Caenorhabditis elegans: one gene and its partners. The protein of the gene in region 2 interacts with the protein of the main gene of each other region in a pairwise test. Each region holds a gene or a part of one and is shown on either strand. Other genes may lie near its edges. The genes, in order: lin-42, daf-12 and din-1.

Region 1 (8,500 bases), on a different chromosome or scaffold from region 2:
CCGTTTTTTTATATTTTATTTTATTTTCTAATTCTTATAGAATTTGAGGTACTTAATAGTTAAGTTGGTCATTTTTTAACCAAATCGTAAATTTATGAAACTTAAATTTTAAATATCAAATTAAAAATTATTGGTATATTTTTCAAAATTTTGTAAATTTCCTGAATTATCTCAAATTCTCAATTTGGTAAATTTTTTGGAGAATTTCAATAGATTAAATTAATTTTTTATTACATCATTTAGTATTTATGTTTTGGCAATTTTGTTACCGAAAAATTCGAATTTTCAAAAAATTAGCACCTAGACCTAGTAGGTATCTACTTATTATATAACTTGAGATTTGCAAATTTGAAGTTTCAAAATATAATTTTTCGGGCAATTGGTACCGTACCGTCCGTACCATAGAGCCCCCGAAGCGATTAATTTCCGTTTTTTTTTGGAAATCCTGAGAAAGTGAAAGAACAAAGGAGCGAGGTGTTGGATGAGATGACCTGGTCAAACTGGACAATTAAACACATGTTCCCCTTTTCTCTCAAATCCGGATTAGTAGTAGAAGTTGAGAGAGGGGGGGTGACAAATGGAATGGCGCAGGGGGTGAAAAGTGAGATTTTGGAGAGAAGTTATTGGTTTTTAGGGTGAAAAACTAGGTGATACATAGGTTTCACGGACCTAGTAAATGCTAAAAAATTGTTTCAAAGGTTATTGAAAATTCGGTTATCTAGGTGCCCATGCCATATATGAAATTGATCGATAAATTGGCAAGTGCCAAAATTAATAATAAAATAAAATAGGTACTTAGAGCAGTTAGGCAATAAGTCTAGGTGCCTAGACCTAGTGTCAATTGATATTAAAATTTGTTAATGGCAAAATCAAAAAGTTGAAAATACTAGTGGGGTATAATTTGCTTTCTTCTAGGTACCTAGGCCTACCTAGTAGGTTTTGAATATTGATAAGCTAGTAGATACAATTTTTTTTGTATATTGTTACATATTGTGGTAATCTGGATATATTTTGGCAAATGCCAAAATTAAAAGAATTATAGGTACTTAAATTTAATAGTGTAGCAACTTATAACTATTTTTTAAAAACATTTTCTGTAAAAATTAGTCCAAAAATTGGTCAAATTCCAACTTCAATTGCACATTGTTCTAGGTTTTTTATATCTTAACTAATAACATTTTTGTTGATTTTTCTGTTTTTTAAGTAAAAAAATGTCAAAATAAATACTTAGACCTAGTATATACCTTTTTACACTGTTCTTGTAAATCTGCAGGCACCTAGGCCTACTAAGCCTACTAGGCTTTAGCTATAATGATGTTCAATAGTTATTGACGGTTTGGGTTCCTAAGTACTTCTATTATCAATTGGTAAAATCAAAAATATCCCAAGTTGTAGGTACCTAGACCTACAAAGCTTCAATTTCGACTTTTTTGACATATTTTTGGCATTTATTGATATCTATTAAAAAACTCAAAGTTTTTAATAATAACGAAAATTTACAACAAAATAAAAATTTTTAAACCAATTTTTTTACCAACTTTGTAGGTAAAAAAAATCAAAAAATGACATCACAACTTGCCAATTTTTGTAGTAAAATTGGTAGTATTATAGTACCCTCTTCCCCGTACCTGCGTCTCTGTTTTTTGTTTAAAAATATGTAAAAATCTAGTTTTTAAAAACACAAATTACTACTACAAACAAAAAGTATTTGTATTGTGTGGTGGTACAGTGGAACTATATAGTCTACTGGTCAAGTGTAATGTTCAAAAATTTATTTGGCACTGGGCCAAGTTCCATTTTCCTTATAGCAAAGTAGAAGCTGAGAAATTGCCGTAAAAATACATTTGTTGGTTCAGTGCTCACAATTTTCATGCAAATTAGTGTAACAGGAGACACCTTACCAAAGTTTTTTTGGGCATTCATATGTAAATTGAAATCAGAAAATATGTACCCAGATCAATAATTGTTCAATTTTTTTTCAAAATTCTAAAATTTAAAAATATAAAGGTTAAACTAGTGTGAAACACAATTTTTAATTTAAAAAATAGGTTCAAAATGCACTTTATAAATTCCAAAATTTTTATAAATTCGGGAACCTAGACTCTAACTTATAATACTAGTTGGTAAGTTTTTGAAAATGTCAAAAAATTGGATACTTTGAAACTGTTAAAACTGCAAGACTTTTTGAAAAATTGGGTACCTAGATGATATGCCTATGCCAATGCCCATGCCTATGCCTATACCTATGCCTATGCCTATACCTATGCCCATACCTATGCCTATGCCTAAGCCAAAGCCTATGCCTATGCCTATGCCTATGCCTATTCCTATGCCTATGCCTATACCTATGCCCATACCTATGCCTATGCCTAAGCCAAAGCCTATGCCTATGCCTATGCCTATGCCTATGCCTATGCCTATGCCTATGCCTATGCCTATGCCTATGCCTATGCCTATGCCTATGTCTATGCCTATGCCTATGCCTATGCCTATGCCTCTGCCTATGCCTATGCCTATGCCTATGCCTATGCCTATGCCTATGCCTATGCCTATGCCTATGTCTATGCCTATGCCTATGCCTATGCCTATGTCTATTCCTATGCCTATGCCTATGCCTATGTCTATGCCTATGCCTATGCCTATGCCTATGCCTATGCCTATGCCTATGCCTATGCCTATGCCTATGCCTATGCCTATGCCTATGCCTATGCCTATGCCTATGCCTATGCCTATGCCTATGCCTATGCCTATGCCTATGCCTATGCCTATGCCTATGTCTATGCCTATGCCTATGCCTATGCCTATGCCTATGCCTCTGCCTATGCCTATGCCTATGCCTATGCCTATGCCTATGCCTATGCCTATGCCTATGCCTATGCCTATGCCTATGCCTATGCCTATGCCTATGTCTATGCCTATGCCTATGCCTATGCCTATGCCTCTGCCTATGCCTATGCCTATGCCTATGCCTATGCCTATGCCTATGCCTATGCCTATGCCTATGCCTATGTCTATGCCTATGCCTATGCCTATGCCTATGTCTATTCCTATGCCTATGCCTATGCCTATGTCTATGCCTATGCCTATGTCTATGCCTATGCCTATGCCTATGTCTATGCCTATGCCTATGCCTATGCCTATGCCTATGCCAGATCAAACTTTGCACTGAAAACTGCAAACTTTTCTAAAATGTTCCAAATTTAGGCTTCGCGATTTAGTAGGCCTGACAATTTGAAATTAATATTGGTAAAATATAAATTTTAGGTACTAGACCTAGTAGGTATAAAAATTGAACTAGCAAATTTCCAAATTTTTTTAAAACTAGGTACCTAGACATAAAATTTGGCAGCTAAACTAAGTGGTACCAAATTTTTACAAAAAAAATTTCTAATATAGGTACCAAAATCTAAATTTCAAATTTTTCCCCCAGCTAGAAAAAATTGACTCAAAAACTTGGTACGTCTTCCAAGTTCAGCTCAATATTTTTTTTTTGATTACCCTGTAATAAACCGTACCGCCCATGTTATGTCTCTTGTTTTACGAGCCCCGCCGTTTTGCTCTAAATGACTAATTATAAGTGTGGAGATGGCGGTATCTTTGCGTTCCAAAATTGTTGGCGAATTGGGTGAGTAGCGACTGAGCTAATAGTTTTATAGTTTAGCTCACAGAAAATTCCAAAAAAATGAAATTTTCCAAAATTTAAATATGGCGCCATGTGTCTCTATTTGAGACACCATCCGTTTTAATATGTGGGAGCCAACACTATTACTTAGTTTGCATATCAATAGAGTTGATAATAAAAATGGTGTCTCTTGGTGTCGATGCACCATGATTTGCATGAGAATTGACGGGGCTGACAGTAGTAAATTTGAAATTTTTAAGCCAATGGAACAAAAAACTAACGTTAAAATCTAGGTAGGCCTGAGCCTAAGAAGCTTGAGCCAAGGCCGAAAGCCCAAGCCTAAACCTGGGCCTACATCTTACCTCCTTCCAGCTCGAAATACTCAATGATATGGAGCACATTTCCTCGGGTGTCCACTGTGACCTGTTTCACCAAAATCCTCTCAATTACGCGTAATTTTGGCGCAATTTTGTAGTACTCAACGGTAGTATGCTTTGGTGATCGGATACCCATGTCGGAAGCCTGAAACGTGAGCTGTAAATTGGGTAAAAGGCGGATAGTTATGAAAGCGGAGAAAAATTCGGCCTAAGACTAAGCCTAAGACTAAATCTAAGCCGAAGCCTAAGCCTAAGCCTAAACCTCAGCCCAGAGTTGCGGCTATGAATGAGATTAAAAATAAGCCTAAATCTAATTCTAATATCAGAATCTATATCGAAATCTAGGCCTGAACTTACGCCTAAGCCTAAGCCTGAGCCTAAGCTTTATCCTAAGCCTAGACATAAGCCTAAGCCAAAGCCTAGGCCCCATCTTAGGCCCAAACGTAATTAGCTAAAAACCCAAAAAAACTGCCAAGAAACTATGCCAAACTCATCCAAATGAGTACGCTACCTTTCCTTCCCACTCTACCTGGCGCCAAGAAACCAGGTGGGGGCGTGGCTTGTAGTAGTACACCCTATGCTCCCCTATTTGAGCAATGTTTGACTCATCTTGTTTGGGTGAGTAAATGTGTATATAAAGTGGTGTAGGTGGGTGACAAGAAAAAGTTCACAGAGAGCAGGACTATAATAGAAGGGTCTTCCTACAGAAATCTGAGCCTAAGCCTAAATCTAAGCCTAAGCCTATGCCTATGCCCTATGCCTATGCCTATGCCTGTGCCTATGCCTATGCCTATTCCTATTCCTATGCCTATGCCTATGCCTATTCCTATGCCTATGCCTATGCCTTTGCCTTTGCCTATGCCAATGCCTATGCCTATGCCTATGCCTGTGCCTATGCCTATGCCTATGCCTATGCCTATGCCTATGCCTATGCCTATGCCTATGCCTATGCCTATGCCTATGCCTATGCCTATGCCTATGTCTATGTCTATGCCTATGCCTATGCCTATGTCTATGCCTATGCCTATGCCTATGCCTATGCCTATGCCTATGCCTATGCCTATGCCTATGCCTATGCCTATGCCTATGCCTATGCCTATGCCTATGCCTATGCCTATGCCTATGCCTATGCCTATGCCTATGCCTATGCCTATGCCTATGCCTATGCCTATGCCTATGCCTATTCCTATGCCTATGCCTATGCCTATGCCTATGCCTATGCCTATGCCTATGCCTATGCCTATGCCTATGCCTATGCCTATGCCTATGCCTATGCCTATGCCTATGCCTAAACCTAAATCTAAGACTAAGCCGACGACCTAAGTCTAAGCATAACTCTTTTACTTAAATTTTCACTTTCTAGAAACTTACTCCTTGCAAATTTTCGAAATTTTTTGCAAACAGGTAATGTTTACTTTCACCACCCGGAGGTTGTCTACAATGTTGTTTTCCCCGGTTTTTTCTAACCGGTGCCAGGTGCCAATTGAAACATTTATGTGTCTGGGAAGTAGCAGGAAACTGTCCGAAAACAACAACAAAATCTTGAGAAATTAGGGACTCTAATAGAAATGCACCGTGTAAGTTTGAAGGCTTATATCTTGGCGGTGGTAGATTTTTGCGACAAATTGTCAACTGATAAAATACGCGGCAAACAGTGATCTACAATTTGGTAGTTAAAATATTTTTGACATCTCAAAAATCAAGTGAGATACAGGCCGACAAAAAAATATTATTTCAAAAAAAAATAGTGTTTCCGTTCCGCAAATCACCGTTCCTTGTTGTTTTATGTCCTTTTCAATTTCAAAATTTTATTTCAATTCCGGAGTGAAGCCCACCACTACCAGTCAGTGCCACTCGTGGGGAGCGCCGCCGTCGCTAGAAATTCACACGGTTTAGGTGCCCGTTTTTTTCTAGCAATCGGTGTTTGTACAGAATTTGTTTGCAGTACTGTTTATTATGGAAGTTGAGCTAGGTACAGTAGCCAAAGCTTATGGAATCAGGGTCCTGTGAAAACTAAATTACCCCCTTAGATCCTAGATCTAGAACCTACAGTAATCTTGCCTTAGATTAATTTGACGGTAGTCTTACCGCAGTTACAGTAAGATTGGTTTCTCATAAAGGTTACATAAATTCAACATTTGAAAATACAGTAATCCTGCCAGAAAACTTCTTAAATTCCATTACAAAAGCTACAGTAACTTTCTCAAAAAACAACAATAATTCTGTCAAAAAAGCTACAGTAATCCTAACAAAAAAACAGTAATTGTGTTTTTAAAAAAATTAGAATTAAATCGGCAAGAAATCGAAACGAAAAAGATTAATCAAGATGGTTGGTCCCCAAAAAACAATGTGTATCGTTGTACATAGGGGGTTGTAAAGATCAATACAAACAGGATTCCCACAGGGTAGGATCATCATAACAGTACATCAGTACGCATCGTAAGTGTAAATGCCTTCTTGAAAGAGCTAATATTTGAATATATAGACCATTAGGTCGTAAACATGTGTCTTTTCATGGAGGGGTGGCGATGTGTTGGCAGCTAAATGTATCTCCCTTCAAAGAAAATTTGAGATTATGAGAGTAAAGGAGAATATGAGGAAAAGGTGATTGATGAATAAATTGTATAATATGATGAGCATTTATATTTCATGGTACGCACCCACTAGAAGCCGATTTTCAACTTTAGCTAGGTCCGAATTTTGTCAATGTAATCTTTAAAGAAAAACTAAAAACTTACGAGTTGTTAACCTATCAAAAGTTTCGAATCCTGATAGTTTTTTTTTAAATTCAGTAGACTCTCATATAAAAGGAAAAATGACAAATTATCCGCAAAAAAAATTTGCAAAAAAAACATAGTACCGCTAGGTCGCAGGTCGTATTCTTGCCACCCCTACCCGCAGCTAAAGTAACATTATTTTTTAAAAAGTTACAGGAATCCTACTTTTAAAACTACAATAGTCCTGCCAGAAAACTTCTGAAGTTCCATTTTGAGAAACACAGTAATTGTGTTTTTAAAAAAAACTACAGTGATCCCAACTTTGAAACTACAGTAATCTTGTCATCTACAGTAATCCTAACAAAACTACAGTAATCTTGTTAGAGTGCTAAAGTAACCCAGTCCAAAAACTACAGTAAAACTGTATCAAAACAGTATCAAAACTCTACGTTAATTAAATTTTAATTACATGTTAAATTAAAACCTCTTAAAACATACCACAAACTACAGTATCCCTCCAATTCTAAAACTACAGTACCCCCCACTTAGATCCTGGATCCAACACCCAACATCACACCTACAGTACCCAATCTTCTCCGCCGAAAAATTCAAATTCCGAGTGTCCTTGATGGGGGAGAAGCTTTTGGACGAATGTTTGCGTGTTCAAAACAACAACATTTTCAAATTGACCGGCTGGAGGAGAGATCAGGTAAAAGCATGGAGACGCAGGATTTTTGCCTGAATGTTTTGCTTTGCCCACCACAACTAAACCAAGTATTTTGAAGGTGAACGGGGTGCTAGAAGGGGGAACGGGTACAGGGCAAAATTTTGAAGGCAAATTCAAAACACGTGAAGTAATTTTTTTTAAAACTAATTTCTAATTTTCAATATTTTGAAAAACCTCAACTTTATAAAATAATAAAAACGTGTAAATGTGGAATAAAGCCCTTATCAAGATGAAATGTGCATAAAAGAAACGTTTTTGATCAGAAAATTCAGTTTCTACTATTTTTGCAATTGAAGAGAACTTCTATAGTGGCAGTTGCTATAAACAATCAAAAAAGCAGAAAATGGTGAGTTGGGGTCTTTTGTAAGGGTACGGTATGGGGTACTGTAGAGGTGACTTCCAACCCTGAAACGTTAAATTTTCCAGCTTCTTGCCTTCTTCATCGCCCTGCTCATTCCAAGAGCACACTCAACGACATTGACTTTTAGTCAATTTCAAGAACTTCACAGCAAGACAGCCGATATGACATCAATGAAAGTGTGCTGGATGCTTGGTGGAGACATTCTTCCAGTGGACGCCAACATTCCTGAAAAAGGACACAAATGCACTGCGACGGTTGACAGATGGTCCTCAAATGCGAAGGATGCCAAGGAAGCGTGTGCCAGTCGGATCCCGTACCACATCGATTCAGCGCAGTATGGAACTAAGACGCAGTGCACTTTTCGTGAGTGAGGGGGTTCTGGCTACTGTAGGAATACTGTAGGGGTGAACTGTAAAGTCTCTTGCTAGCTTTACACATTGTTTATCGTTTACTCATCCATCAAATTTTCCAGTAATCAACTTGGCATGTGCAGAAGATCACTGGCAAATCCACGGAAAGTGCTACCGACTTCACAACGGAAAGTACACTTGGGCCCAGGCCAAGGCTATCTGTCAGACGGGGGTTGGAGATGATGTCAAATCTCAAGTCGCAATATTCTATTCGGAGGCCTTGAGCATCTACTTGAACGATATGGAGAACATCGGTGCTGCCTGGGTGAATGTTCCGAACCTCAAC
Region 2 (8,500 bases):
TGTCTTGAAAGATGAAGGGCGCGCCTGGGTGATGATAGAACTGCGGTCAGTTTCATTCCCTTTCTCTACTCCTTTTCTCGTTCTCAAGTACCTTCACATCGAAGTTGTCGTCATGTTCGCGTTAAGAACGCATAGTATTTTTCATTTCATTTTAAACGCCACTACCACCACCACGGTCGCCTCCTTCACGGTCGCCGCCTGCGCTCTCCCCCAGGCCACTACGATTTGGTTCCGATTGCGCCGCCGACGACTACTGCGACGGCGCGAGAGAAGGAAAAAACAAGGTCGATCGCAACATTTCGGAATAGAGTTCCTGTCTCTCTGTGTTCCATGTTCCGAAAACTTGAAAAGGCCTAGCGCGCTACTTACAATAACCTATATGTAGGTCGAGGCAAACAACGTTCGCATCTCATCCTCTCTAACTTGTCAAAATCACTCAAAGTCAACGATTCAAAGAATATTGGAACTTCTTATAAACTGTACATTATTCTAAAAAACTAAACTATTTTAGTGATACACTGAAAACAAACAAAAAAAAAAAGATAATCAAAAAATAAAGGAGATGAGTGTAAGGAGATCATGTGGTGGTGCTCACTGATTCTCGTGAGCACTAATTGAATAATTTTGAAAAAGCGTGACTGACATTTTACAACTACATGTCCAAACTTGTGGGAATTGCAAACTAAAAGAACACTTGAACGTTTGAACATTTAAGATTGAGAAAAAGTGTTACAATAATGAGTCAAAAACGGTTACTTGTTCTGGATTGTTCAAGGCAATTTGAATAATCTTCACGTTTACTCACCCGTAATGCTGCAAGCATTTTGTCGAATGACATGAATTTCGAAAGTGCCGCCACATTTGCTTCGAGTGTCATTTTTTGATTTTTGTGTTCGGAATGAAGTATAGACGTCCGGAAGTATATAGTAGAATGGTATCATCAGCACTTCATTGTTGTTTTCGGAATAATTGAGAAAGTAGGTGTTGTGAGAGGCGTGGTCCCAAGTTTTTGCGGTAATATGGAACACACACACTTAAAAAAATCGGGGCCGAACGACGACACAACAGGCAGCAGTAGCAAAAACTTCAGTGCGTCCTGTGTATATGTACGGTGCGTGTGTTTCACCGTTTGACCTTGGAACGGCCCAAAAAGGAAGCGAATTTAATTGTAAGTAAGAAGTAAGTGTGAGCACTTATGCTTATCGCTTTATCAAAACACCGGCGCTGATTACCGTAGTTTGGCGTTCCGAACAGGTTGTGGATAGGTTGATTGTTTGAAGATGAAAATTGAGATATTGAAGATGACGATGATGACACTGGACTTTAAACTTTGATCGTTGTTGGCAAGAATACAGCTTCTTTGTTTCAGACCTAGTTGGTCCGAATAATTTCAACTAGAGCTCACTATGAGTTCATTTATTTCAGGTATCGTAAAAGCTGAACGACTTTTCCAGAATTTTTCCTTTCGAATTTTTCCAGTACAGGTTTCATTGAAAAAGCGTTTAGATGTAGAAGTAAAAGTCCACCATTATCTTGAGCGCATTTTGTATCTTCAACACATGAAATTTCTCTCATCATTTTCTCGAATGTTGAGAGCACATCACACTCAAGAACATCAGTTCTTCTTTCCTCTCCACTCACTTCTAAACAATTCCCCGTCAGCAAAATGGCGTGAGTTTAACGCTGCACAAAACATACGCCGAACTTCGAAAAAGAGATGAAGACTAATTGATGAGAAACAATCAATAAGAAGAAGGATCGGATCAGAATGGAACTTTTTGAACTTATAATAGAAGCTTATTACAAATTTCTAAAACTGAATTAAAGTTTGATAACTAAATGTCCTTTAGAGTGTTATTATATTCATTTGTTAACACCATGTTTTCTGAATACACACAAAAATATAGAGCATTAAATTCAATGAACTGAAAATATATGTAGCTCCAATAATTCAAATCCAATAAGATTCTTGATTGAAGAAAAGAAAATCGTTTAGCAATTTAAAGTTATAGAATACTACCGCCAACCACAAAAACAACAAAAAGTTTCATCTTGGTGCAATGGTTGAGTCAAGTCATAATAATCTAACCTGATTGAAAAAACATAATAACAAACTAACGTCGTCATCGCTGTTTGGAGGTGTCAAGCAGTTATTCTTGCTGTGTATCCGCCTGTGGCGCTGAAATAAAAAAAATTATTTAAATATTATTTATGATATTTTTAATTACACTTGCTGGGCTTGACGATTTATCATCGTCGTCAATCTTTTCAACATCAATTACACTTGCTGAACCCGGAGTTTTTGACGTTTGAATAGGAGTTTCGTAAGAAACAGCAGAAAAGTAATATGGAGTTGGATAGAATGGAAGTTTGTGGAAATTGTGGAAAGAGTTACTATACATGGCACTGTGAGAGTATAGATGGCGATTGTATGTGTTGTTGCAATGATCTGTTTTGCCTACTTCATCTCGGCGCCCCGTTAAGATAGCCGTCGATTTCGGCGCTGGGAGGGTCGAACAGTTTTCAACTCCCCCAAATTGCACTTTTGATGTAGAAATTCAGAGAGAATAAATGTTGCTGCTAACAAGTGGTGGGAGGGTACGGTTACACAAAAGATAGAAAACGCACGAAAAGAGATGATAAGAATATGACTCCTTTTTGTTCTCAGAAAATATTGGCCACTCTAACGCTTATCGCTACAAATCGAACATTTAGACACAGACCGCCGAAGATGACATGTCAACGTTCTAAAATCAGTGCTGTTCTTTGAGAAAGAAGCAGACATATTTATGTGTTACTTATAACAGTTAAACGTTTAAGCTCTACGAATACTTTAGAAAGTAAGATTTTATTTCCGACACATTTTTGAGTGGAAAAGGGGAAATAGCTGCAGAGAGGACATTGTTTCATAATGCCGATTGTACCAGAATGGTCGAATTTTTCAGTTTTCAAACCAAATATGAAATTGAGAACATTTTGAAAATTGTTCTACCATGATATGCCGTTACTACATATTTTGTGTTTTTTTACTGACACCAGTAGATAGGCTTGAAGTGGCTTTGTAAGTTAAGACTAAATAAAATTGATGAGTATCAACTCTAAGAAAATTTCAATACCATTTGTTCGAAACTTCTACAAAATAACTGAGGTTTAAACATAAATGTTAACACATTCTTGTGAAAATGATGCAATATATTTTGCAAAAAAGGTCATTTCTACAAGACTATTCTGCATCTATTCCCACAAGCTTTTATTGATACTTTGGTCTTCTGTTTAGCTGATGAGAAAAAAATTATAAATACGGTTTCAACTTTAAGTTTGTTATAAATAACTTGTAAATATCCAATTTGTTCACCTTTTTGCCGATTTATACTAATTTTCACATTTTTGATTGCTTTACACAGTTTGTACTGGCTCTTCTCGGTATACAATTTTTTAAAGCCGTGAGATTTTAGAAATCACTTACCCTGCGGGTTACTCGTTTCCTTCTCACGACGGGCTCCTCTACCTTATCTGGGTTTTCATTTGTTTCGATTTCCATTGACTGTTCCGCAATGACTCCTCCATTTGTGCCCATTTAATTGGCGCCCGTTGCGCCGAAATGTGCGCTGAAAAATTTTCATTATGTTTTTGTAAAGCAAGTAAAGCAAGATTTTGAGCAACATGGAATAGCAAGGAATAAGTTTCCAAAGTACACACTGGTGATCAACAGCCACAAAAGAAAAGATCGGAAGAGACACAAGAACGGGGACGGGAGGTCGTTATTTGTGAATACTTTGTCATTTTTCTGCTGTGATTTTTTTTTTTGCGTGGAACAGTCGAAAAAAAAAAATTTTGCTACTGCTAATTTTAAACATATCTACTGATTGCGAGCAAAGTTTTGTAAAATTGAAACATCTCGATTAGGCAAAACAGATCTCGTCAAAACTTTCTCTATAAAATAAGTTTTTCTTTTTGATTAGATATTATATACAGTTATAACTTGTAACGAAAAATTGGGAAAAAAATGTTTTTTGATGAATGAAGCTCGGTAAAGTTATCTACATCGAAAGTTGTTCTTGACGACCAGCAAAAAAAAAACAAACAAACCAGATAACTGGGTTAACTGGTGCGTGGATATCTACAATTTAAACTGAAATAAAAGTACATTTTCATTATCATGTTTTCATCCGCTTGGTTGATGAGTAGAACTAAGATTTAGTCTCAAGTAGACTCTGCTGTTCATACTATTTCTGCCTTTTTGCTGGCACGCATAAATTGATAAATTATGTATTTATCTCTAAAAATTTAATTGAAAATCTGTCACTTCTGATTATAGTGTGTTTGTTTCATCAAATCCTAATGCTTAGCACCAAAAATCTGATTCGTTTCATTTTGACGTGAAAAATTGCTAAATTGGAAAGATGAGAAGCTGGAGAGGAAGGCATTTGAAATTTGGATTTGAGATGGCATATGGGGAGGGAAAAAGCGGAACAATTGTAAAAAATGTCGTGGTCTCATTCACTCAACACATGAAACTGCACCTACTGAGAAGAATATGCATTTCTGGTGAAATATTGAAATAAAACAGCACGGAACGAACAAAAAAAGGTTTTAGAGAATGTAAGAAATTGAAAAATAAGTTGTGGTGCACTCAATTCTGAGTCAAAAACAAAAAGATTGAGTTAATTTTCAGATAGAAATTTGATATTCGGCCAAGAAAATTGATGAAATTAAAATAAAATCGAGTTGCGGCATTTGAAGAACTTTCAATGTTTTCAAAATGTATTTTGATGCAGAATAATGTTGCAAAATGGAACAATCACGAAAGTGAAATAAAAAATCTAAAAATTTATCTCAAAAGTATTAAAAAAGTTTTAAAAAATATTTTTGACTAACTTAGGGAAAAAAATTAATTATTTTTGAATAAGTTTAATACAAAATGTAAAATTAAACTTAATAAAAATTACATCTCCTATTCAACTGATTAATGGAAAAAGGAAAGTACTGAAATACTAAATAAAATTAAATTGAAAAAACCATTTTTAGAAAATGTTTTCATTTTGAATCCAACTTTAAAAAAATATCAGTTACATTTAAGATCACTTATCAGACAAATAAAATTATTTTCAAAAAAAATAATTTGAGGAACCAAAAAATGAAATACGATTAGCAATGTGCCTAAAGGTCATTTCAGATAAAACTAGACGCAACATCCAGGGAAAAAAAGAAAAAGCAAAATCCAAGAGGCGCCGGGCAAAGAGGGACCGCGGATGCCCACGCAAGAAAATGAGACGCAGAAATGGTGGAAAAAATGTGGGAAGGCGAAACGAGCATTAGGGTGGGTATGTTGCAAGAAAAAATTTTTAAAATACGCAATAGGGTGCACTTTAGAAAGAGTAATGGTCATTAATAGTTCAAACAAAACAAAACATTGAAAATAAAGAGGATAATTAATTAAAATAAGTTCTAAACGGGCAATAAAAACCAAAGGATCAGACTGTCGCGGATAGGGAAACTAAGTAAAAAAGATAGGAAGAGTGAGAGAAACGAAACGAAAAACGAGAACCACTGCACTGCGAACATTTATTGAGCACTGAATAAACAGTGCAGCGTTCGGTTCTCCGATTGCGACTTGACTGCACAACATTTCAAATCGAATTTAAGAGTGATTCTACTCCTTTGTGAATAAGTTTCAAATGGCATTTACCAAAAATAAATCCGATGGTAGCCGTGGGAGTAAACCAAACAATCTTCCCTTGGGATTCAATATGGACACTGCACAAAAAGTGTTTGAAGGGCAGTCACGAGCGCCGAAGCTCTCAGAATACTAGGGTACATCACATCAAAACCGAATGTGCAAAAAAAGAAAAGAGAATGCACTAATAGAAGAGGGCAAAGAGGGCAAAGAGGGTGAAAAGTTGAAAGACAACAAGCAACTAGTACAGGAAACCTGGATTGAAAGAAAAAAGTGTGAGCGCATGGAAAATGAGTAAATGCAAACAAAGACGCGAGGAGGTAGAAGAGTGCACAGAATATCATTGATAACCTTCTTTGAAACTGCCGAGAAATCGACCTTCATTGCATTCTGTGATTTTTCTTCAAATTCTAACAGTCAATTTTTTTTCATATTTTAACAGTTTTATTTTATAAACTTTTTTTTAATTCGTTGATTTTCCGAATAATAACCTATGAATGAGAAGAAAAAGAAAGTAACTGGCCCAGTAATTGTGTCCCAATGAATGCATGACCTTTCTTGTTTAGTAACCCTTAAGAAAAATTTCCTCATTTATTTCAGTTTCAACTAAAAAAACGCGTTCTTTGGTGCATTATTAATTTTGAGCCGAATCTTCAATCTTTTAATTTTTCGTAGTCTTTGGAAATGAAAGATTAAACACAAGAAATCATGAGAACGTAACAGAATTAGATATTCATCAGCAATAAAATATAAATGAAGACAAATACTAATAAAGACACCAATCAACTTTTTTTGAACAAAAAAGCAACAAAAAAAAATTGACACAACGAAATTTCTTTCTTTGCGAGATTTTTTTCTCAAATTCAGAACTGTCTAGAAATACTTTTCGATTTTCAAATTGCAATAAAATTCTGGACAGATGTAGAAATCGACTGCAAAAATATATAAATTTTCAGTTACAATTTATTTCCAAACATCAATTTTTCTTGATTTTATTGCCAAGCATGGTTACATAAAAAGAGTGAGGGTCAATTGCAAAGTTTAACATTACACATTCAACTATGTTTATCTTTTCCTATGTGTTTGTATGCTGTCTTTTTTTTTGCCAAAAGTTCAGTTTCGTTAAAGTGAATTATTTCGTTCCTTCCTTCTCCATTTTGTTCTACTCGCCTGCGTTCTCTCAAATTTCTGCCTTTGTAACATTTTTAACAAAAGCTAACATTTTCTGACCTTCATTGAAATTCATTGAGTTTCGAATGGTTTTTTTTTTCAAAATATACTTCAAACAACCAAAAAACCTAAACGTAAAGCCGAACAGAATAAAATAATTATTGATAACGTGACGTGAGAAAAAAGGACGTGAAAAGAGAATCACAAATCATGAAAAAATTATTTGGATGAGACTGTAGAAGGTGTAGAAGATATTACAATCCAAGGATGGATTTTTTGCGGATGAAAACGGCAACATTATCTGTCGCGGAGGTGCGGAACAGACCAGACATGTTGTGTTTCGCAACAAACAATACCGAAAGGCAAGCGCCCTGTAGAGAGAGAAAGAGTGCGAATATGTAAGAGGTAAACGCGTTTCGTTTTCAAAGTGGAAAACGAGAGAAAAGGAAAAAGGAAAGAATGACGAAGCGCTGCCAGGAAATTCAAAATTGAAAGTCTATAAGCGAAGGTGTGTTTTACAAAAGCCACACGAGCCATTCAGACACTTTCTTAAAATTTTTTGCGGTCATTGAATAAATAAAATACATACAAGACATGAGAATGCTAATTTTTCAAGGACAGATATACCAATTAATTAATCCCAGAATACATATGCAACCATAACCACATAAAGGTCAAATAGAATTTTGCACTTTTGCAGGTTCCCTTTTGTGAACTTTTTCAATGTAAATGAAATGTAAACTGGTATAGTAGCAGAATTTGTAATTCTTTTAAAGACATAGCTCAAAAAGACCGAATTTCATAATTAAAATTCTTAAAAAATCTATAAAAATCTCAAAACAGTTCAAAATGTTGAGTTAGAATTGCTGATTTCATCATAAGCTCTAATTTTGCCGACTTCTCAGTGTTGTACTTTAAGATGGGAGCAGAAGACTTTACCAAATTAGTGCACTCTGTGACTGAAAATATTTCTAGATTCGAAATAAAGAAGTTTTTTAATAAAAATAAACTTGAGACCTCTTGCACACAGTAAAAATTAGTAGATGTGGTGATGTTAGCTAAAATGAGCTCTTATTATTAAAAATTTTAAGTTGCTATTAAACATTTATAAAAAAATTTTCAAGAGATCTCATTTTAATATTTGTTTTTTTGACCGTTTTGAGATACAAATATTTCAAACACTACTTTAGTAGCTTTACAATAAAAACAATTCCATTATTAGAATTTTGAAAATCTATTAGTGAAATTCCTAACGCTTTTGTCAGTTTCGCAAAAAGTAAATCATGAACATTTCAAGCAATGAAAAGCCTATCTTGACTTGAGACGTTGAAATGGTGTTCTTCAATGTCTCGTTATCATCCTGGTTTACAAGGAATACAGGGTAATTCTAATCAACTCGCCTAAAAACTGGAGCACTTTTTCCACTGCGTTTCGAACTTTACGAACGAGAAACCGATAACGCGGTTCGAGAACAAACACAAATGCTGAATAATGAAATTGAACATGAAGCCCGATGACGTCATCGGCAAAATGTTTCTCTGACAGAACGGTCAGCAGTTTTGTCTGAATCGAAAAAAAACTTAAAAAAAAACAAAAAACAATGTAACAATAAAAACTTTGTCAACATAGGGCAAGTGAAATAAAAGGGCGAGA
Region 3 (8,500 bases), on a different chromosome or scaffold from region 2:
ATTCTGAAAAGTCAGGTCAAAACGTGCCGAAAAGTACTAAAATGAATTTTTCTGCATACTGCTGCCGCCGCTCACATCAACTTTTCTGGCGACTGTGTCATTCAAGACTTCAACTACTGCCACAGCCAGAATTTTTTTGGATTTTTGTTTTTTAAGAATCTCCAGACCAAGAGCATTCTCTGAACTATAAAAACTTGTAAGACACTTGATGGATTCCTCGAGAAAAGTGTAGAAATCCCGCAGAATGCCGACTTGCGTGCCATAAAGATCGTGATCTCAAAAGTTCTGAAGGCCTGCAGCAATGCGGATTGGGATATTTTAAAAATTCAAAACGTTCTTCTGGTCAGTATTTTATGGAGAACAAAACTTGTACAACTTGATGTAATAACTCTCTCGACACGTGAAGTTATAGAGCTGCAAACGTGTTACCTTACTTATGGCGCACCCTGTAAAGTGGGGGTGCAATACTATCCGATAATTCGGTTTTTTCTCTATTAGTATTGCACCCCATTGTTCAACCTTGACAGATTATATTTCAGTTTTCTGTTTTTTGTTCAAAAAATTATATACTAGAAAAATATTTGTTAGTTCTTCTACTATTATTTCGTAATTAATAATATATTCATATCGTTAAAATGAACCAAATATAACGTCTCAAAGTTAAGTAGCCGGGTGCAATACTAATAGAGGAAATACGGTATATGGTTTTCCTCTTGATTCAATAATACCAAGGATATTCCAAAACTTAAAAAAAAACCTGTGAATTTCTTTTCACTGAACTTCCGATTTTCTAACATTTCCCTTCCTTCTCCCAAGTTTTGTTCATTGGTGTTTAATCCGATAACGTGCTTTATTCAAATTAACAAAATTACATACGTTTACCGTGTATTCCAAGTTTACACAATATGTGGCATGTACCTTTCAGGAACCCATAACCATTTGTATATTACATAACATTTTTCTCGAGGCAATACCATAATAAAAATAATGCTCTAAAATAGATTTTACTATAGCCCTATTCTGTGGGCAGAATATTTATTTTGATAAAGATTAGCTCAAGAAAAGCTCAAGAATTTTCCACGTAATCCGCTCAATTTTTTTTCGTTCAGAAGATCTCGTAATAATAAGAGTAATAGCGATTATTCGACGAATCAATTATCCACATAACGACCTGCAATTACGGAGAGCTCCATGTGCCGGCATCATTACCTAAAGAGAAGATTGTGATGCAATGGTAATTGATGTAGTGTGGGGGAAATGACGAAAATAATCTGAAAAAATTCAAATGCCCCTTTGTCCTGAAATAAAACAATAAAGAATCATCTATTGTGATCCCCCGACATCTGTATCATAGTTCCCGGTGTTTTACATGAAAAAGAGCTGCTGTTGGGAAAAAATAGATAGACCGAGAGGTAGAGAAGCAATAGGAAAGTGGTGTTGGTGAGGAAAAACATCAAAATGCAGTCATAGAAAATCCCTTCTCTTGTTGACGGGGTTCTGTAACCAGTGATTACGTATTCAATATAATCACGGGCTCTCCGCATAGGAGGACAAAGAAGAACGAACCACCGCCCGCCGATAAGAAAAAGAAAAAGTGCATTTTACGAGAGATTCATTTCGAGGGCGCGATACATGCAGGAGAGCGGAAAATATTGAAGATGGGTGTGGACGAAATTGAAATTTGCATGCTTGAAGACGTAGGAAGCTTGTCAGGCAGAAATGGATTCTATGAATGATATGATGACTGCTTTCATCAATAACATGTACAATAAAGATAATTCTTACGTTCTTAAAGTTGTTAAAAATATTATTATATTAAAGTTGGTATCTAAAACTAAATATCTAGTGAATTAAACTTGGCATTTTAAACTTAGTATATTAATATCTTAAGCTTTGTATCTTAAAATTGGATTCTTAACATTAGTATTTTAGTATTTTAAACATAGTATCTTAATAGTTGAAACTTAGTATAATAGTATCCTAGGATCTTAGTATCTGCAACTTAGTTTCTAAGAAACCTAAGCTTAGTATCTTAGTACCTTTAAAATCTGAAAAAAAACCTAGCTGGAAATTCTAAAACTTCAGAAAAATAAAGTTTGTACAAATTTAAATATATTTTCGTATTCTTTGAACATTTTGAAAAGTTTACAAATTGGTATTGAAAAAGAACAAATGTCAATTCTCTCCGTCTAGACCGTTGCAATTAACGACGTATTGTTCAAGGGGTTCACTTTCGGGGTGGTCTCTTTCTCTAGCCCCCTTCTTTATTCGATATCCTCCTGTCAAGGTCAGTCTGTGTCGCTTCCTCTCTACGCGGTAGCAGCAGATGGTAAAAGGTAAAGAGAGAGAGAGAGAGAGTAGCCGTCAGACTTTCTATTGATCGTTGGTCTCATTGAAAAGAGACTGAGAGAGAGAGAGAGTCAACGAGAGAGTGAGAGAATGCACCTGTTTTGTTGAGCTGACTTCTCTCTCACACTCTCTCTCCATCTTTTTTGCAATAATACAATTGATGATTCAACGCAAAGACGCAGACAATGTGTAAAGAAGAAGTGGTGACGTGGAGGTGATAAATGGAGTCAATAGAACAAAGAAAGTGAATTGAAGCGTCTGGGTAGTTTTGAACAAAATTCGACATCTTGAAAAATCACAAGAAAGTTAAACTTTAATTGACAAACTCCAAAGTGTCGTCACACTAAGTTTACTATTAGGAAGAAAACTTGCAATTTTCAGATGTCAAATAGTAAGGCGTCCTCTGCTTCCTTTTACCTTTAACATAATAATTTTAAAACGAAACCAATTCAGTCCCCCAACCCCCATAACGAATCTAATCTTAACAAGCAAGTCGCATTCATTTACATGTATCACATGAGAGCGCGTTTTCTATCTCTCTCACAAACATATTTCGTAACTTTTAGATTTGGAATACATGCGAAGAAGAACTACCCAAGTCAGGCGTGAACATAAAAAAGAACAGGTGGAAACAAAATATGTTTTTTTTTCGGTTGAAAGAGGCAAAAGCATAGGAGCTAGAGTGACGTGTCATAGTGTGAGTGTATGAAAACGGAGGGGTGTATGTGAGTATGTGAGTGTGTGTGGTTGCCCCCCGTCGCAAACACTCACTCACCACACCCCACCGCCACTCGTACAACTAACATTTGCAGTCCGCGCCGACCCGTCTCGCGAGTCTCTGCGCTCTCCGCCGCTCATCCAATCCATCGGTATGCGCATCGATTTGTCGACCATAGAGCGGTTTCGCTTCCCCCTTCTCTCGCTCTTCGCCGTCAGCAGCAGCAGCCCCTCGGGCCGGGCCGTCGTCAAATCAAAACACTCACTCCCCGACCTAGTCGTCTTGTTCGGGTGGGGAGACTCAAGCCTCTCAATCGCCTGAGAAGCTCAGAGAGGAAGAGCTCGAAGACATACGAACGCGCATATCATATAAAAGCAGAGCATTAATTATTGTATTTGTCGCCCCGTCAAAATTAAATCTCAACAAAACAGAAAGTTGAAAACTGAAATTGGAAAATTATGACGTAGAACTGGGACTACTGGGACTAGGACAACAAGACTGCAGACGGGCGTACACAATATCGAAAATGTATGGCAAATTCGGCCTATAACTCCGTCCCAATTCTACCAAATTTTGCCTGGAAAAAATTGAAATTTAAAATTTAAAATTCGAATATAGATAAATTCAAAACGAAGAGCTCTTTTTTTTTAAATTAAGTGAGAAGCCTACGGCTTCAGTTTTCCGATGAAAAAGGATGAGGACAGATGCGTTTTTGGTTGGGTATATTCGAAGCTGAACGAGAAGAGGACGACACGAAACACGACTAAAGCGCGTATGCTGTCTGTGTATGTGTGTCGGGGGGCCGCCGCTGTTTTGGAGGGAAAAGATGATGAAAACGGGGAGGCGAGGCTATATCGCAGCAGCGACAAAACCCGAGAGATAGTCGGCTGGCAGGAGGGCATGGTTAGACTTATGCGATATATTATGGTGCAAGACACATAAAGGAGACACGAGACGTGTGTGAAGACATTGGAGACACAGACGAGCAGTGTGCGACGATTGCCGGGCACGTTTTGTGCGAGCGATTCGATGCGAGTGAATGACAACGCGACGGGGGTCTTTTCTGTTGTGCGAGCGCGACCGTCATGTTGCTTGTGAGTGTGGTTGTGAGCGTCTGTGAGTGGATTCGGGGAGAAGAGGGGGGCCGACGACCTCCCGCCAATGCCCCTTCGCCCACCCAGACACCCGTCCACTCAAATCCGACGTGTCCATCGTCTTCGCCACCGTTCTATCGGTTGCTGTACCCGTTTTTTTCTGCCGTTCCCCGCACCCCTCCGTGTCTCAGCTCTTCCAATTCCCACACCGCTATAGGCTCTCTTGCACAGTTCCCATCACATTTGTACCATTTTACGTTTCACAAGCACTAAATTCCCCCGAATTGGGTTTAGAGAGCTGTTAATCGAAAATAACCTTTGAGATCAAAATGTGTGTCGGAAACACGCTGTAAACAAATTTCGTAAACCTTTTTCTGGAAATAGATTGGAAATAGAAATATGTAGTCTGAACTTATTAAAACACGATGAATCACATACAAGTATCACAATTTATCTCCGTTTTTCATCTGGTGGATTTTGATTCTGTGACTTTGGAATTTTTAATAGCCACTCGCATTTAACATAATATAATTGTATATTTGGCTTTCTTTTTGCTCCCCTTTGTGTCATGAATTTATAAATGTTGAATTTTTGATTTTATAGAATCCGCGGTTTGCAATGTTGAGATGGTTCAAGTACCTTCTACAAATACTGTAAAGGAATCCCGCCATGTGGCAATATCTGGACTTCCAAGCACATTACCAGATGATCGACTACAGTTGCATTTCACAAAGTATATCTTTTTTTTTAACGAATTTTTAAAATTAAATATTAAATTCAGATTTGGCGAAATTCAGCGTTTGGTCCGGCAACACGGCAACCCAGAAATCGTCCTCGTCAGCTATATGGACGCTCGTGGAGCCTTGCGAGCACGCAGTACAAAACCACAGTTCGAAGATTCAATTGAGTACAAGATCTCCGCGTATATTCCGGAACCCACACAGAACTCGTGAGTCCCCCTCTGATCTTTAACTATTCTGGAAACCCTTGTATTTTAGTAGTATGGCTTCCATGTCATCGACACCTTCGTCCGGTCAAAGTTCGTCGCCACGAAACGCTGAGCTTTCACCGCAAAGGTATGGCGATACACGAGGCGCTGAAGTGAAGTCGCCCAGTTTCAGGAATCAGATGGAAGCTAGAAGAGGAGGCCCACATCTCTCGGTGCAATCCCAGCAAAGGCATTCTCGAGAATATTGGTAAGACACGGAAAACGAAGAAAACTATATAGAGATCTTTCTGCGTGTGAAAGACGCAGAGAAGAAGAGCATAGTGGGTGAGATACTGAGACAGGGTAAGAGGTGGTGTGAGAGCGGGAGATTGTTGACCCTCCAGCCAAGACGGCTGCTTGGGAAGACGAAGACGACCCCGAGCGGGACGCGCGCACCAGACTTTTTTACTCTCTGTCCCTTTTTTCTCGGTTAATTTTTTTTCGCAGTTCACAGAGATTTACCTCCCACAATGTCTTTTTATCTCTCTGTCTCGGTTTTATCCATCTCCTCTAACTTTCCTAGTTAATTCTTAGCTAAACGGTGGACCGTAGTTTGTTGTAGAACTGTCAGTCGTCGTTTCCTTTTAATTGTTGGCACAGAGCCAAAAATATATTACCCATATGTGAAATTTTGCGTTTTGTGAGCCAAAAGTACGGTACCCGGTCTCGGCACGACATTTTTTTGTTAAATGCGGAAGTGTGTGCGTCTTTTGCAAAATTTTTAGCAGTTTTCTTATTTTTTCTTTTAATTAAAAATTGTGTATTGACTTTTAAAAAACCTCAAATTTGAAAAAAATCAGGGGAAAGTTTAAAATTACAGTAATCTTTAAAAGCGCACACTTTTTAGAATTTAATAAAAACTTGCCGTGGTGAGACCAAATCGTAAACTTTCCCGTCTGAGTAATAGCTTATGTATATTTATCTATTCATCAAAACTTTCCATTTTTTCAGGCCCATCCCAGAATTTCCATCAGAATCCACGGCCTGTGTAGTCTACGAAATACAGTCCGGATCGACACCAGAGCGGGACCTTTTTGAACTTGTGAAAAAGCACTCAAAACGGTCAGGCGTACCAATCGATATTCAACTGGAGTCGACTACCGAACCTGGCTGGAAAAAAGCACGCGTCCATTATTACAGGCTTGATACGGACGGCCTGAAAGCTGATAAAAGTTTAATACTTGGCAGGCCGCCAAAGTTTCGAGTCTATTACCCGACAAGGTTGGTTTTTATGGTCAAAATTAATTTTTGTAAAAATAATAAAATCAATAAAATCAATATATTTTATATTTTCCAGTGGGGAACAGAAGCATCCTCAATGCCATCCGTCGACATCATACGCAATACCTAAACTGAAAGGTGATCATTTGCTGAAGGCGAGTTGCTCGGTACACGTGCCTCATTTGGATCGTCACTCACCTGATCATTATCGTCGAAGATTTGAGTCTTATGGTCAAGTCATTGACGTTGATATGGTGAAGTCGAATGATAATAAGGCATTCGCAGTTGTTCAGTTTACGAATATCGACGACGCTCAGAAAGCGTTACAAGATACGAACATTCCAAAAGTGAGTTTGCGCCCGAACCTAATTGTTGTCAGTTTTTAGCACAATGTGCACCGATTTCATTAGTTCCCATCCAATTTCTCTATACCCTCCACTATCTCTACGTACTCGAGAGTATTACACACACATCTTCGACACTATCCTGTCATCATTGTCTTTTTTGTAACACAATATCACCGTCCTTTAGACAGTTTTTTATCGCATTTTTGTTTTGATGAAATATTAGAATGACCTTTTTCCCAAATTGATGCAGTTCGCAAGAAAAATTTTATTGATCGACCTTTAGATACATTAGGTATTCCGTACCCACTAGAAACCAGAAAAAAGTGCACACCTCTTATAATTTCCTTTTTCTCATTTTTACTCTATTACAAAAGCCCCCAAAAATAGTTTTCCTGGTCTCGCCACGACCGAAGCTTTCCAGCTACAGTACTTCCTTGTTTTCATTGTTTCCTTCTATTTTACAACGCAAGAACATTAATCTATAGTATTTTAGATTTTACTCTCCATTGCTTTTTTTTGGCTTTAACAAAAATTGTTCGGCTACTTTCTAAAAATAGAGAAATGTTTTGCACGAACTTTCTCTTTGAAATATATTTTTGATAAGCTCCCCCCCCCCCCCCCCCCCCCCATTGTCCAACTTTGACAGCTTATATCTTTGCTGTCGTTTGTCCTATACAAAAATTATCAACTGACAATATATTTTTTATTTCTTTTTCTATATATTTGTAGTTAATTTTTTTTGATAAGTTCAAGATGAACCGAGGTATAATCCTTCAAAATAATATAGCAAAGTGCTGACTAATTTCTAAATTTTTTTCTTTCTTTGACTTCCAATTTCATATTATTTCTTTCAGCCGATGTCATATCAATCTCGTCCATCGCATCGAATAATTATATTCTACTTACCGATCGAATGTACAAATGAAGAGATAATGCTGATAATACGCAGCTTATCCGACAGAATTGTGGATATTTGTGTTGACTGGTGGGATCGAAGTGCGGTAATTACGCTTGACGATATGGAGCCAGCGAATTTGCTATTAAAACGGATGAAGCTGGTTGGACGAAAGTGAGTTTTCGTAAACAAATTTTGATTTTAAAATTATATTTTTTTGTAAAAACGTTTCGTAATGTGTGTCTCATAGCAACTCCCTTTTATCTCTATGTTCGGAGAACAAAAAGGCTGAGAAGAAAATTATGATGATTTTGGTCACATGAGCATGAATATGTGAAATATTATTATCTTTTGAGATAGAGAAATAATTGATTAAAGATATATAGTGTTTTAATGCTTAGGAAGTTCTAAAAAAAATGAGTGAGCCTTTAAAGAAGCAATTAGACAACAACTAGTGACTAAATGAGTACTACTTAACCATTGAAACGGACCCGTTTCTGGCTTTCTCGTGTGCGCCCCGCTTACCCATTGTGACCATTGTCTAACCATCTGCGTATCCTTTTATGGCGCCATAGGGGAGGCGTGGCCTGTCGTGCTGGACGCTAGGGGTACCCATTCAGTCGTAGTGTGGTGTGCGTGCGCCTGGGCGCAAAAAAGAGAGAGAAGTGTTCCCCCACCCAGCTATTTGAATCTAACTTTTAATTGATGACCAAAGTGAGAGATCGTCGGAGATGTTCGGAACCTTGTACACATTTTATTTGTGAGATACTCAAGTGGTGAGCAAGATTGATATTTCAAAATTTGAAAAATCTTACTTATTAGGTCTTTTACTTATTTCTCGGTTCTCATTAGTTTTGATAAAAAATTATCAACTGAAAAAATATTTTT

Evidence for each region.
Region 1: the proteins of daf-12 (region 2) and lin-42 interact in a two-hybrid assay, tested with the Caenorhabditis elegans proteins (one study listed by BioGRID).
Region 3: the proteins of daf-12 (region 2) and din-1 interact in a two-hybrid assay, tested with the Caenorhabditis elegans proteins (one study listed by BioGRID).

What each region holds. Positions count from the first base shown.
Region 1 is NC_003280.10:1,248,225-1,256,724, forward strand, and holds the start of lin-42 (PAS domain-containing protein), read right to left. Parts: upstream 4,136-8,500; coding exon 3,985-4,135; intron 1-3,984. Other genes in the region: clec-119 (C-type LECtin), read left to right, coding at 7,787-7,789, 7,870-8,167, 8,277-8,500. UniProt on the Caenorhabditis elegans protein: Transcriptional repressor which interacts with the promoter region of target genes. Has a specific role in developmental timing where it regulates temporal expression of a number of miRNAs and mRNAs.
Region 2 is NC_003284.9:10,639,517-10,648,016, reverse strand, and holds the start of daf-12 (Nuclear hormone receptor family member daf-12), read right to left. Parts: upstream 3,578-8,500; coding exon 3,467-3,577; intron 2,180-3,466; coding exon 2,120-2,179; intron 1-2,119. UniProt on the Caenorhabditis elegans protein: Nuclear receptor which binds directly to response elements in target gene promoters. Activity is modulated by binding of steroid hormone ligands that include dafachronic acids.
Region 3 is NC_003280.10:11,629,874-11,638,373, reverse strand, and holds the start of din-1 (Daf-12-interacting protein 1), read left to right. Parts: upstream 1-4,787; coding exon 4,788-4,894; intron 4,895-4,942; coding exon 4,943-5,110; intron 5,111-5,159; coding exon 5,160-5,357; intron 5,358-6,100; coding exon 6,101-6,370; intron 6,371-6,446; coding exon 6,447-6,717; intron 6,718-7,571; coding exon 7,572-7,786; intron 7,787-8,500.